Linked DNA regions of Lytechinus pictus. The protein of the gene in region 1 binds, or shares a complex with, the protein of each later gene. Links are inferred from orthologs where the notes say so. Each region holds a gene or a part of one and is shown in the gene's direction. Other genes may lie near its edges.

The links.
Region 2: the proteins of WD repeat-containing and planar cell polarity effector protein fritz homolog (region 1) and protein inturned-like are in contact, whole or in part, in a cryo-EM structure (PDB 7Q3E), measured with the Mus musculus proteins. The link is inferred for Lytechinus pictus from reciprocal best matches to the Homo sapiens genes WDPCP and INTU. Residues at the interface, in NP_663400.2 of Mus musculus: Phe3, Cys4, Leu5, Ile24, Leu51, Ser54, Arg55, Asp56, Lys93, Leu385, Ala386, Glu387, Asp388, Tyr389, Ile427, Lys446, Leu447, Gly448, Ile449, Leu450, Thr451, Arg452, Gly453, Leu455, Leu462, Gln463, Ile465, His466, Tyr467, Gln487; in NP_780724.3 of Mus musculus: Val481, Gln484, Val488, Asp491, Ser495, Asp496, Glu498, Ala499, Ala500, Asp501, Ser506, Glu507, Asp508, Arg513, Arg514, Thr517, Ser532, His533, Leu534, Pro535, His574, Tyr593, Glu610, Gly613, Cys614, Ala615, Ser616, Lys617, Ser653, Pro654.

The regions. Positions count from the first base shown.
Region 1 is NC_087251.1:37,388,403-37,392,333, reverse strand, and holds the start of WD repeat-containing and planar cell polarity effector protein fritz homolog, read left to right. Parts: upstream 1-1,536; 5' UTR 1,537-1,558; coding exon 1,559-1,619; intron 1,620-3,275; coding exon 3,276-3,320; intron 3,321-3,931. UniProt on the Homo sapiens protein: Probable effector of the planar cell polarity signaling pathway which regulates the septin cytoskeleton in both ciliogenesis and collective cell movements.
Region 2 is NC_087249.1:39,380,880-39,384,810, reverse strand, and holds the start of protein inturned-like, read left to right. Parts: upstream 1-1,280; 5' UTR 1,281-1,480; coding exon 1,481-1,617; intron 1,618-3,931. UniProt on the Homo sapiens protein: Plays a key role in ciliogenesis and embryonic development.

The DNA.
Region 1 (3,931 bases):
ATTTAATTTATATATTAAAAAAAGAGCAGATGAGGAGCAAGAAAGGGGAGCAAGAATGGCAAGAGTAAGCATGTGAAAAGGTGAGAATAGAAAGGGGGATGTAGCAAAAATAAAGGAAAGAGGGAAAAAAGGAAATTGAGGGAAAAAAACCCCACAAGTAAACAACAAATTGTAGATTACAAATATAAGAATTATGTGTAACAAAAAAAAAAGAAGGAAAGTGACATGATGGCGATTATAATAGACGAGAGAGTGGGAAAGAGCAACAGGGAGATAGAGGGAGAAGGAGAGAGAAAGACAGAAAGAGATATATAGAAAGGTCAGACAGAATCTGAAAGAAGGACATCATATCTAATCATAAGTTACATAAGTAAACAAAATATACATAGAAAAAAAACCACACGACTTCTATGGCTTGTTTTTTCTGTGCGCAGCGGCATGTAATGAACCCTTGAGTGGATGAGGTCGAGAATTGTGGTGGTAACCATCTGTTGTACATAAATTATAAAATCCTGATTTTTTGGTGAAAAAAGTTCAATGAAAGATCTGATCTCAACTCGTCTCGTCATCGTGAATGAGTGTAATCCGGGCTTGATCATTGATGATCCAAAGTTTTTTCCAAATTCCAGTCTTTTCTATGGTTAAAAAAGAAAATTGGGAATCCCGAAAATTGTATCCAGTCTGTCCAACGCAAGCCAAAAGGTAGTTTGAAAATCAGTAGATCGTAGCGCCGGTCCAAAAATTGGGATTGTCCCAGAAACAAGGTTATCCTCAGACCTCAAAAACCAAGACAACTCGTCATCGTGTCTTGATAAAATGAGATTGTCCTTGTCGGGGACAGTTTTTTTTCTTCACTTACCCCTGCGGGACATAGACGTCAATTACAGGGATATAGTGTGCTAGAAATAGATTCAGTGACCTCAATCCCCCAAGTTCATTGTCTATTCTTCATGACAATAATCTTGTTAATGTTATGAAACCGGATTGACTAGCACACTTGATTGGTGTCTGCACTTGACAGGTGAATGAACTGAATCAATCGGGTAATGAGATGAGGTACAGGTACGGAGTGTTTCCGTCTGAGGCACGAGCTGCACAAGATGTTCTTCAACTTCATTCATGATATGATTATGAATTTATGATGGTGAGATTATGTCACACATGCACTTACCCAATGTATAAGGATTACTGCCATAGGATTTCCATGTGAAACAATTAAACAATTGAATGAAGTTTGAAAAGCTACTTATGGATACTTATTAATATAGATGCTTCTGAAAAGCAGACTTCCACCTTCTCTTTATTCAGATCCAAATTCTTGTATTATTTTTTAGTCAAAATATATTATTGCACCTAAATATACTGTATATAGTTTATACCTTTATTTTTAAAAATAGTTTGCTTTAATGTTCGCTTAAAATATTTTTTTCATTAAAACAATATTTTTTATTTACATTGTAGGACAAAAGATCCCCAGTCACCAATAGAGCCTGGCATTGATGGTAGAAGAAGTAGAAATTAGAGTTATCTATTCGTTGAAAACTTGATTTACTTCAACATGGCAGGGTGTCTGGTTGAGCTGTACATCTGGTCAATGAAAGGTGCTATGGGAATCAAAGGTAAAATATGCTTTCAAATGAACATTAAAAAAGTAACATTGATAAAGAATATGAAAAAATGTAAAATATTTGAAAAAAATTAAAAGTTCTTAATTGATTGTAATAGAGATTAGAGTTTTATAAATGGTTGTTCTTGTTTTACTCCATTGTGTTTGTCAATTTATTCACTACTACAGAGATGCCAACCCTCCCGATTTCATCGGGAGGCTCCCGAAAATTCATCCCAACTCCCGCCCTTACGATTACCATCCTTATCCTCCCGAAATTACGATTTTTTTTTGCATTGATCAAATTGGATTGGAAGTACATGTATCGTCTGCTGACTTTAGCATGTAGTAACTCCATTACGTTTCGCTGCTACTAAATTCTGTGTGAAAGGCAGACAAATAAGGAGCAGCGAAAAGCTGGTGCATGTGATATGCCCAACGGGAATCCACTGTGCACCAGGCCGGTAGGCCTGGCTAGCTTCGCGAGGCGTGTGCGCTCGCGGCCGCTGGATTTGTCGAGTCGTGCGATGGAATATCGGTGTGTGATTTCGGCGTATTGATGGGTTGATATTGACACGAAATGGCGGAAAATCAACAAAAAAAGACCAAGAAATGGTCTCAGAAGTATAAGACTGAAAACAGTCTCCAGTACCCGTGTATTCGGAAAGAGGAATCTACCATGCATTTTGCACAATTTGCAGCGTGGACATTAAAGTTGAGCACGGAGGTCGTGATGATATTCGGAAGCACGTAGGGAGCAAACGGCATACGGACATTGCGAAGACGAGATCTTCGAGCTCCACTAGTACCCTGTTGACTTATTTCACCAAGCAAGGGACCAGCGAGGAGGAAGACGTTACCCGCGCTTTAATAATAATAAAGAGGATAATTCCTTATTATTATAGTTGAACAGGTACTTTTCTTCTATTGTCCCCTCATTTTTTTTACATACGCATATTTGATATTTTTATTTTTATGTCAAAAAAGTGGGAACAATGTTTTTTTAAAAACATGTGAAATGCTCCAAAATAAGGGTCAGATTGCACCAGAGAGCATCTAGAAACCCAGAGCTTCCAGGGCCCTAAGGCGGGCCCTCGACCCCGGCCGCAAGGGTCGAGCGCTCCGCGCTCGAGATGTGCGCTATGCGCACATAATTTGGTGTCGGTTGCAAATCCTCCCTAATTCTGATTTCCAAAAGTTGGCATCTCTGCTAGTATAATAACAATAAAAATATAATAATGATACTACTACTACTACTGCTGCTGCTGCTACTAGTACTACTACTACTAATAATAATAATAGTAATAATAAAAAAATAATGATAATACTATACAGTAACTAATACCCGATAAAGTTGTCAACTTTAATTCTTCCCTTAATTGTTTGACAAGTGAAGATGAATTGAGATGTTATGATGCTTTAAGCATAGAGTGAAAGTTGTAAATCTGTCTGTTGCATCATGAAAGTAATATCTGTTTTGATAGGTGTCTAATTTTATTTTACTATTAATGCCCCTGTTACGTGATATGATAATATATATTTCTTGGCATAACTCATTGAACCAAGATGATATGATAATTAATCCAAACATGGAAATGCACATTGATAAAGTGCTTTTGCATAGTTCATCATTCTATCATCTGTTGTGATAATTTCATATAAAATTTAGATGGAAACATTGGATGCCATAGCTACTATGACAAAGGAGACATGGGTAAGACATAAAGTTTAATAGTTTAATAATTGATAATTAATGATTGGTTAATAAATGATGATATTAACCATAACTGCTGAAGTAATGTATTATTTGTTATACATGTATGACTCTACCTACAGTATATGGTTGCTGGAGGCTTGTTTTTGGTTGTCTATCCATCTGTCTGTTCTGTTGTATGTTCTCTTGAAGTAAAGAACCATTTTAGAAGTTGATTCTACTGTTTTTAATTTTGAGTATTTGAAGATTTAATAAATCCTAATTGCTAACTTAAGTAATATTTTTGTTTATGATCACCCACAACACATGTAGATGGTTGCTAGTGGCATGATTGGGGCCATCGGTATATCCATCCTGTTTATGTTCTCTTGAAACTAAAGAACTAAAGAGGGATTAATTTCAATGTTTTATTGTTTGATAATGATTTATGAAATATCAACCATATCCCAAACAATATCTTTTAATGACTCTGCCCACAGTGGATGGTTTCAGGTCATCCATCTATCTATCCTTTTTTACGTTCTTTCGATAATGAAAGAACCACCCAAGGGGTTAATTTCAAACTTGGTTTATGTATGCATTATTGGAGTGACTCCATTAGAGTCATGTGA
Region 2 (3,931 bases), on another chromosome or scaffold:
TAATAGGTTCCTTTTATCTCGCATTTCAAGACAGGGTAAATTCACACTGCGCTTTACATGAAACAAACTTCTTTAAACATTTCAAACTTATGTCTTCATGCATCAATCAACATACTTTAAATGAATACAAAACAAAGTGCATCTTAAATAAAACAAAAATAAATAAATAGTTAACAATACAGAAAAGATGTAGCTGCTGCAAGCTTAACAACAAACTAATGTATACCAGTCAGTCCTGATATCAGTATTAGTGTAACAATAGTCATATAGTGGGAGCATGAAGTTGAACAATTCATGATTATACATAATTATATATGTTTGTTTGAATAATACTTGTTATAAAGATAGTAGTATGGTACTCTCTGTCACGAATTATTATGTATACTGTTGTATCACATTCATTTTCTATTCTGTTTTAGATTGCGCTGATGCATTTTGCACACAATGGATAATGCCTATAACACGAGTGGGCCAGACCACACATGTATTTCAATAAAAACCGACTTGAGAAAATAACGTGTATATAAATATATAGATAAATAAATAAATAAATGCATATAATGTATATATATATGTATAAATATCATATACCTGTAATATAATCTGATATAAACTAATAAATAAATAAATAAATATAATACATATCATATATGAGAAGGTATTGCTAGTACTCGGTTCGTGCCTGAAAAGTAGTCTCGATGAAAAGAAAAAAGTTGTTGCTTCATTCCCATACCAAAAACAGCTTGATTAACAGTTGCTAATCAGATAATAGAGACATGCGGTAAGTTGGTTAACTTACTTAAGGAGCATTCATGGCTCAACAAACAAACATATCGGTCTCTTAGTCAGTTTTACTTTTGTAGTCTTGCAAATTTGTGTCATAGAAACCAAATATCTTGCGCCTCTTTTCGTTCCTGCCCAGTAAATACTTGTAAGATTTTCTTTTTTTTACCGTCTGAATTGACTTTCACCGTGTGAATGCGGCTAATAACAATAAACACAATTACAATAATGATGAGGATTATTATTATCATCATCATAATTATTATTATTATTAATATTATAATTGTTATCATTATTATTATTACTATTATTATCATCATTATGACTTATTAAGTAACCAAATATCATTCCCCAAAACCTGGGGGGGATGATTGTACATGCCATCCCCCCCACCTTGTGAGGTGGGGGGGATGCATCCCCCTCATCCCCCCCGTTGTCTACGCCCCTGCTCACGGAAATTGGTGCCGTGGTTGGGGTTCGAACCTCGGGCTTTCAAAATAGTCAGGCGCTTTAGACCACCGGTCCGACCACGGCTCCTCAACTCTGCCCAATCATCAAAGTAGTATGCCGCCATCTATTGATGGCTCCCAAACAGGTATTTGTAAACAAGATGGCGATGCTGAGGAGGGTGAAAAATAATTAATAACAAACATTTCGAAAGCTAGATTGTTGACGATCTAGAACAGTGTCATCAACAATGGACGGCTCCAAAAGAAGAGCAAATGTTCGCGTGAAGTATTCAGGAGAATCTGTATCAAAGCCCAATTTACCAACTCCAGAAATAGTTGTTGATCATGACACCGCTTCGGATGTGGAATACAGCGACGATAATGAGTAGGTCAACAGGCTAGCCAGGCGGGGCGGTTGGGCACGGGAAAGACTGGGGGCTGCGTAACCCAGAGAGCTCCGGCCCGCTTTGCGGGCCGGAGCCCAGGACTTGTACTCGTCCGTGTAATACGAGGCAGACATATGCTCTCCAAAATGGGGTCGCAAGCCAATAGCACTCAGAATAAAAGGGGAAATTATAAATAATGCACTGACTTGCCTCTATTATGGAGTAGTACTAGTGTCACTACTATAAATAGTATAAATAATTAATATTGTCATTGTGAGACACAGAATCCTGACATGGTCATCGAGGCACAAACTGGACCCTCAATTGTCAAAAGGAAAAGTTAGACCTCTGAGGCTCTGTCGCGTTGGTTCTCGGTGTCGATCGGCCATTTTTTTTTCAATTTTGACAGAAGGAGAACGAACGAGACAGAACTTTTCCTTTTTTGAGGGTCCAGTTTGTGCCTCGATGTCGGGATTCTGTGTCTCACGATAGACCTTCATTTCAGCTTCATCCATATACACATTACATGTATTAGGTAATCGAGGTAAGTGTATGATTTATATTTTCCCCTTTTATTTTGAGTGCTATTGCGACCCCATTTTGGAGAGCATATGTCCGCCTCGTATTACACGGACGAGTCCTGAGCTCCCTGGGTTTAGGGGCTGCGCGGTACGCTTGCCACGCCACTGGCTTCTCTATGTGAAGAATGAAGTGTACTGTGTAGACTGTCTAGTTTAATGTTGAAGGGGCAGTGAGCTGAAGAAATCAAGAATGAGGGGGCATTTGCAAAAATGAATGTGTTAATCTGGGCCTTATGGTTATGGCCTATCGTGAAATAAGTCAGCTCTTCTTGTGTGTGTCGGTGCATTGTATCATGTGCACTCGCTGTGAGCTGTGTACAAAGTCAATGGGAGTTGAAAGAAGTCACCAGCACTGACAAAATAAACAGTAGTGACTGGACTGGGACTTAAATCAGGAATCTGATTGATGTGATTGTGAATTTGTGACTGATAGAATGGATAATGATGAGGTTGTAACTTTTGTTGGGGACCAGTCTTGTGGGGGGGGGGGGGTTGAGGTCAGCTTGGCCCATTATCCTGGTTTCAGTCACCAGTCCATTCACTGCCGTTTATTTCCCTAGCTATTGTGACTTCTTTCCACTCCCATTGACTTTGTACACAACGAGTGCACACACACAAGGAGAGAGGTGACAAATTTCATGATATTAAAGGCCGTCAGCTATTAAAGAAAAAAGATGTTTGATTTGAGATGGGGAAGTGGGAGGATGATAGGGGGTGTCAATTGAATTGTCTTGATTGTCTGCTTTTATAGGGGTGCATACAATGGGAGAAATAGATAACAATTTACCTCTGTAAAAACCAAACACTTTTTAGTATGAAAACACAAAATTTTGAGCTAGATTCATGTTTATCATGTAGATCTCCATGTCAAAACCTCCAGCATGAGTATTGTTGGCTTTAAGTTTGAAATTTTAATCAGCTATTTAAAAAAAGGCATTGTTATGTGTGCTAAAACTCCCATAGAAGAACGTCAATTTTTTGTGTGCTAATTCTTTATTGGCACCCCCCCCCAAAAAAAAAAAAAATGTCCATGTGTTTTCTGCACGGTACACAGCTACAGTTTTATTGCATCCTGTACTACAGTAATCTGGCCAAAAAAAAAATTTTTGGAGAGATTCATGCCTAATTCTGCAATATTGGATAATAGTCCAGTCAATATAGGGTTTGACCCACCACTAATTGCAACACGAGATATTCCACTGCAATGCTTTCAAGGAAGGTCCCCTAAACAACATACTAAAAGTCCCAAGAAATCCAAGCAGTGGAAATTTATGAAATTTGCATATTATGCAAATTAGCCATAAAAAGTTATAAAAATAGGGAAAATAGCCCAAAGATTACAAATTGAGTGTCCAAAACAATTCAATTTGAGCGAAAATTCATGATAAATAACTTTTTCAATGTTTTTTGTCAAAAGTGCAAAAAAATCTACCTCATTTGAATAATATGCAAATAAGCATCCTAATATGGAAAAATGTCAAGGTATTGTGATTTTTCTCTCATTGTCTGCTTGAAAATTTCATTAATGTTGGAATTTACATGCTGCTATCACTAAGGACGTTGAATAAATTTGTAGTCAGCTTAGTGTATGTAGTGTAATTTGCATATTATGCAAATAAAAGTATCTAACATGTTGTAAATATTCAAGAAAACATACTGGTGATACATCCCTCAAAAATTGCAAGTAGATTATCTATTGAAATTGGAATATGGCAATACCTCACAGGAAGGT